Cricetulus griseus: one gene and its partner. The protein of the gene in region 1 purifies or fractionates together with the protein of each later gene. This does not show direct contact. Links are inferred from orthologs where the notes say so. Each region holds a gene or a part of one and is shown on either strand. Other genes may lie near its edges. The genes, in order: Ngfr and Ndn.

What was found.
Region 2: the proteins of Ngfr (region 1) and Ndn purify together in Homo sapiens (affinity purification with western blotting; 3 studies listed by BioGRID). This does not show direct contact. The link is inferred for Cricetulus griseus from reciprocal best matches to the Homo sapiens genes NGFR and NDN.

The regions. Positions count from the first base shown.
Region 1 is NC_048600.1:108,748,098-108,751,921, reverse strand, and holds part of Ngfr (tumor necrosis factor receptor superfamily member 16), read left to right. Parts: intron 1-3,617; coding exon 3,618-3,746; intron 3,747-3,824. UniProt on the Homo sapiens protein: Low affinity receptor which can bind to NGF, BDNF, NTF3, and NTF4. Forms a heterodimeric receptor with SORCS2 that binds the precursor forms of NGF, BDNF and NTF3 with high affinity, and has much lower affinity for mature NGF and BDNF.
Region 2 is NC_048596.1:135,134,081-135,137,187, reverse strand, and holds Ndn (necdin), read left to right. Parts: upstream 1-1,321; coding exon 1,322-2,299; downstream 2,300-3,107. UniProt on the Homo sapiens protein: Growth suppressor that facilitates the entry of the cell into cell cycle arrest.

The DNA of each region.
Region 1 (3,824 bases):
CCCTAGCTTCTCTTCAAGTCTCCACAAGGCAGCTTAGCTTCTTAAGGGATCAACACCAATCTCCTTCTCATGACTCAGTGGCTGACCAAAGGGGCGGGGAGTAGAGCCGGAAGCCAGTGCCTACTCCTAGGTTCGAATCTATCTAACGCTCTCCAGCTATTTGAAAACCTCTCCTACCCCATATGGCTGTGACCAGGCTTCTATTCTCTGAGGAGCCTTCTCTGAAGCTGTTGTGTATGCTCAGGAAGGAGCCCATGGAAACACCCACATAGTTGCAAACGTTGGTGTGTTTTCTGTTTTGTCCAATTAAAAAAAAAAGTCAATTCATCGGAACACCACAAGCCCTGCAATGACAAAAATAGATGGTAAACATTCTGAAAAATGGAGACGCCATGCTATCAACTTTGAAATGAATGAATGTAATAGATATAACTATCAGGCAAATGGGTCTGTCATTTTGATAAATTGGTCAATTTGGATCGGATTTTGGAGCAATTAGCCTGAACTCCAGTCACACTTTCCTGCTTGGCGGATGGCTCCCTTTCTGCTTTGTCTTCCCTCGGGTCAGCATCTCATACTCCCTAAGACACACGACTTCCTCAATAACTACCATTGATTGAACTCCTACTGTACACCGCACAGATCTGCATACATTATTGCACTCACTTCTCATAACAATCCAGTGCAGGAGTCATACTCGTCCCAGTGTTTTAGATAGGAAAACTGAGATTTAGGAAGAATAAGATACTCAAAATCACAGGCTATTTTGCAGCAAATCTTGGACTTTGTGACAGAGGCAACATAAACTAAGTGCAGATGCTGACTGTGTGGCTTCAACTTTAAATACAAGTCCTGAAAGGAGTGGGAAGGGCAGGGATGCTTGCCCAAAGCTACTATGGCTCCCACAAGCATCATCAGCCCCACCCCCAACATACACCCTCCAACTCTCTGCTGACTTTGGTTTGGTGGAGCAGTGGTACACAACCCAGGTCCACAAAGGGTACACATACTAGAAGGAAAAAAAGGTTTTTGCTTGTTTGGTTTGGTTTTTGAGACAGGGTTTCTCTGTGTAACAGCCCTGGCTGCCTCTACCTTTTGAGTACTGGGATTAAAAGCCTGTGCCACCACTTATGGCTAAAAGGGGAATTCTGAAGAACTTTGACCCATACTCGCCACATTTACTACAGCAGTTTGAGGCAGCTGATGTCATGATTATCTACTGGTAGGAAACAGAGGCACAGAGAAATTACAAACCTGTCCATCATTCTGGCCCTAAATGATGAGGGACTCAGATCAATGGAAGAAGCGGAATGGGCAGTGATTATGCCCAAATGTTTGACCCAGGGTACTGTTCTTTCATGTTAACTCCTCCTCCTCCTCATCCTCCTCCTCCTCCTCCTAGTACCACACACACACACACACACACACACACACACACACACACACACACACCATCTCCATTTCTCTCTGTGTAGTCCTGGCTGGCCTTAAACTGGAGGTCTTCCTTTCTTAGCTCCTTATGCAGGGATCACAGGCATGTGTGCACCTGGCTCCCAGACAGCTTTTTACCAAGTCCAGTGACATCATTTTAAAAACTCCATTAGAACTGATACATTATGATTCTGGGAGAAGGACTCTTCCAGTCACGCTGATAGGAGCAAGAAGTGACAACTGATACCTTGACAGGAAGAGAAGGGACAGGAAAATTATCAAAAAGCTGACAAAATGACAAAAAATATGGTCATCTGGGATCAGGAACATGAGCGCACTGCTGCATTGCAGCCCTGAGTAATCGCTGCTGCTAACAGCCAGTGCCCCAGTGATGGAGAAACTGCAGAGGCAGAGGAGGGTGCAGCCCCCAGGTCACACAGAGAGAGACACTGAATGACAGCAGCACTTTTTTTTTTTTCTCCTGAGGACACATAGTCATCCAAAGTCAGTCTTCCAGACTTCTAGGTAACTGAAGGTGTATGGTAACTTTCTGTTCTTAAATCACACAGTTATGTCCATTGGTTCCCCACTCTGTGCCAGGTAGGGGCAGGAGATAGACAGTCAACCCCATGTCCATAGCTCTGCCTATCTAGTCTGGGAGGGGTGGGGATGACAGGAACACTTCCTTGAGGAAGTGATATTTAAGTAGAGTCCTAAGTGATGAAAGGAAATGAGAACAGACCCTTCTGGAATCTCAGCTCCTGAGAAAAGCCTGCCTCAGGGCTCCTGGTCTGCAGATGTTGCCAGCCAGCACTCCTACTGCTGGCACCTGGGAGGAGATGGTGGCAGCTTCTGTGCTGCCTTCATTGTCCCTGAAGGGCTCATAGAGACCATGTTGCTCCTAGGGCATCACCCAGTGTTCCTCCCCCAACTTCTATAGTTCATTTCCCATCAAACTCTGGTAAGACCACAATATATATATATATATATATATATATATATATATATATATATATATAATATCTTGGCAAAGATCTGTCCAGCATGGAAGTTGTAGAAGAATGCCCAAGAAATCTTGTAAAGCTCCCTCATCTCACGACAAGAGCCCAAATTGCTCAGCATCAAATGGGGTGTGTGTGCAAGGTCTGGAGCCTGCAGAGAAGGCTTTGGAGTTTTATTAGACATTAAGATTGTTCTTTAAGAAACAGAAACAAAGCGAGCCTCTTGCAGCCCCTCCCTCTGGGGAATCTGGTGCTAAGTCGTTCCATCCATGAGCAAAGATGCTGTAGTGGTAGGAATTTGATTCCCCTTTCCCCCTATTCCAGCTCTGTTCCCAGGGGTAACATGGGAGGAGAGGGGAGGGGAGGGGAGGAAGTCAGGCTAGTGACTGGAAGACAACTCTGGTGGAACAGAGTTGCTGGATGGTGAGAGCAGCTACTGATAACAGGGATCCCTTTCTGCCTGTCTTGGCGCCAGACTTGCCCATCAGCCTGTCCTTTGCCCTGGCACCAAGCTGTCATTCACTGTCTTTATCTGCAGAGAGTTGAAAAGTCCAAAAGGAAAAGCAGGACAGGCCAGAAACCTGTCTGAAGTCAAGATTTGAACCCAAGACCCAGGTCTCTTGCCTTCTGCTTGCTCTTGGACATAGACAACTCCTTTTTGATATTTAATATGTAGAGTGAGACCTGGAGAAAGGCCCTGTTACCCTTTGTTAGGAAAGGCCCTGCGTCTGGGGAATTAAAGCCCTGCAGGTGTAAGGCTTAGCAAATGGAGTTTGGACCAGATTTCAGCTCCACTGGCCCCCTTGGCCAGGAGCCTTATGCAAGCTGCAACCTGTCCGCCTATTCTGGATGTTGGTCTCAGGCTGCCCTCCTCATGTGGTGTATCCTCAGGGCTCCATGAGGGGCTGTAACCCCAAGATGAACTTTGCTGAAGGTTAGCCACTGAGACTGTGACCTCACACCCCAGGAGCAGTCAAGGGCACACTGTCCCCGTCCCCCATCTCCCCCAGCCTTCCTTCCTGCTAGCTTTGATCCTCCTAATGCCTCCCGGGTGAGCTCATCCCAGCCCAGGTGGTTCCAATAGAAGGTATTAAGAGGGAGGCGTTTGATCCCCTGGAAGATACCCCCCCTCTCCTGCCAGGCTGACCCTCTGATCTTCTTCCACCTAGGTGTCAAGGTGCCAAGATACCAAGGAGACATGTTCCACAGGCTTGTACACCCATAGCGGAGAATGCTGCAAGGCCTGCAACTTGGGTGAAGGTGTGGCCCAGCCTTGTGGAGCCAACCAAACCGTGTGTGAACCCTGCCTGGACAGTGAGTATAGGATGGCAAATGGGGGAAGGTGTGGCATGAGCAGAACAGACCTTGCAGGTGTTCTGTCTCCTGGCAGGT
Region 2 (3,107 bases), on another chromosome or scaffold:
ACTTGATGGAATTGTGTGAAGTGAAAAGGGCTATATATAGACAAAGCTTCCTGATCTCCAACATTTGTGGAAATGAGGGAGACATGACATCAAATAAGTAGAGAGTAGAAAATTGATTACCAAAGGCTGTGAAAGGAACATGGAGGATAAAGATTGCCTTCTGAAACAAGAACATAGTTAGGAACAATATTCTGTAGTGTACTATAACAAAGTGCAGTGGGTGTACTCAGCTATACATGTTTAAGGAGATAGAAAAAGGAATTTTAAATATCCCTAAAGGTTAAAGTGATATATGTGTTAATTATGCAAGTTTGCTTACTGCATATTGTGCTTGTGTATAAAGACAAACTCTTATTTGTGTCAATTATATGTGTATATTGTGTAAGTGTATGCAAATTTATGAGAAGGGTGTTGTGTATCCTGCTCTATTGTTCTCTACCCTATTCCTTTGAGACAGGATCTCTCACTGAACCTAAACTTGGGCTGGTTTCTGGCAAATGCCTGTAATTCTCCTAATTGTACCTCTCAGAGCAGGGTTTACAAACACAGACTATGCCATTACATTTTTTGTGAGTCTTAGGGATTTGAACTAGGGTTCTCACACTTGCACTACAAATGCTCTTACCCATGGACTGAGCCAATTCCCATCCCAATAAAAAAATGTTTAAACACACACCAATTATGCTATATAATTTTATTACTTCCAAAACATTCAAATTCCACTTGGGCTGATTTCCAGTGTCTGTAATGACACTTTATATTCTTCCGTATTGGATCTGGACTCAGGTTTGGTAAAGATTTGCTCTATTAATTTTTCAACATTCCAATCTTAAACATCACATTATCTTCACAATGCTCGCACTTCCAAAAAAAAAAAAAAAAATCAAAAACTCATTACTGTCTCACTCTTTTGTAGAAAGTCCAAGCTCTCTAGCCAGTCTACCCCCTTTCACACAAAAACTCAAAGGTGCTCTAACTTGACTTCACCATCTCAGCTGCATCTTTCTACTTAAACTTGCTCCTTCCCCATCACCATCTCTTTCTAGCTCACCCAGGAGACCTGGAGATCTTTCCCATTAGTTTAGTGGTACCCTCCCTCAGACCCCAGTGGTTGGGCTTTGCATCTCAGCTCCTATCCAGCCCTACCACCCTTCTGGCTTGCCAACACGCATGCGCAGTGTCAAGTCCGCCCCGCCCGGCCGCTGCTGCGGAAGGCACAGCTCTCAGTAAAGCGCACTTCCTCTGCTGGTGTCCACTGAGGGAGTGCTGGTTCCAAGAGCTCCAAGTCGCAGCGGTCCTGCTCTGATCAGAAGGCGCAGACATGTCGGAACAAAGTAAGGACTTGAGCGACCCTAACTTTGCACCTGATGCCGCCAACTCCGAGGTGCAGGAGAGCTCTGAGATTCCGGTGGGGGTCCCTCCTCCCACATCTCCAGCCGCGATCGTCGCAGAGGCACCAGAAGCTCCTGAAGGCCCTATGGCAGCCCGGCAGGCCTCGCCGCCGCCTCCAGAAAGGTTAGAAGATATTGACCCTAAGATTCTGGAGCAGGCCATAGAGGAGGGCCGCGCCCACAATCCCGATAGCCCGGTCCGTCAGCTGCCAACACCACCCGCCCCGGCCCAGGTGGTGCAGAAGGCGCACGAGCTCATGTGGTACGTGTTGGTCAAGGACCAGAAGAGGATGGTCCTCTGGTTCCCAGACATGGTGAAAGATGTCATGGGCAGCTACAAGAAATGGTGCAGAAGCATCCTCCGGCGCACCAGCCTCATCCTTGCCAGAGTTTTTGGGCTGCACCTGAGGCTGACCAATATCCACACGATGGAGTTCGCCCTGGTCAAAGCCCTCAGCCCAGCAGAACTGGACAGAGTGGCGCTGAACAACCGTATGCCCATGACAGGCCTCCTGCTCATGATCCTGAGCCTCATCTACGTGAAGGGCCGCGGGGCCAGAGAGGGAGCCGTCTGGAATGTGCTGCACATCCTGGGACTGAGGCCCTGGAAGAAGCACTCCACCTTCGGAGACGTGAGGAAGATTATCACCGAGGAGTTCGTCCAGCAGAATTACCTGAAGTACCAGCTTGTTCCCCACAGCGATCCTCCTGAGTACGAGTTCTTCTGGGGGTCCAGAGCCAACCGTGAAATCACCAAGATGCAGATTATGGAGTTCCTGGCCAGGGTCTTTAAGAAAGATCCCCAGGCTTGGCCCTCCCGCTACCGAGAGGCTCTGGAGCAGGCCAGAGCTCTGCGGGAGGCTAATCTTGCTGCCCACTGCCCCCGCAGCAGTGTCTCTGGTGATTAGGAAGGTCCCCAGCATGTTGATAATTTCTGACCCATACTTGGGCTGTATAAGGGTGGGGTTGGGTCATTAGAGTATTCCACATTCACAGTGCAGTATTTCATGTGTAACCTTTAAGTTTTCCTTACAGTGCTTTTGTACCTTTCAATGCAATATATTCATTTGTGTTCGCTTGGAGCGTGTTAAGGATTTATGCATGTGCGTTTACAAGTAAGCAAGTGGATGCTTTCACTTCTGTGCTTTTTTGTACAAGAGATGTGCTGTGCTGAACCTGTGAAATCCATTGAGATGTTGTGTATCTATTCTTTGTATGAAAGTGATGATCTGTATCAACATAAAAGCCCAGGAGAGTTAGGAGGTGAGCAAAGCAGGCCTGACCAGAGAAAGGTCAAGGGCCCTCTTATATGAACTCAACTGGCACAGGAAGCATCCCTGTGGAATGGACTGATTTGAACTGGAATGTTCTCAGTGTAGGCACTTAGCACACCCTACCAAACATGTATACAACCCCACCATAAATAAACTTTGAAGTGAGCATTAAAGATCCTTGTGGAATAATTTCTTTGGGGGGGTATTTATTTTGTGGGAAGGGGGGTTGGGATGGGAGGGAATGAGGAAGATCTGCCCATGCACAGCATGCACAAACATGGTGTTCAACTAAAAGAGTGGAAAACCATTACCCAAGACCACTCAGGGTTACAGCTTTATTTTTCTATTTAATCAAACTGGTGACACTTCAAAGACTTTGACATTTAAGGGGTGTAATAATCAAAGAAAAGTATCTTATCACATCACATGGGGATAATTAATA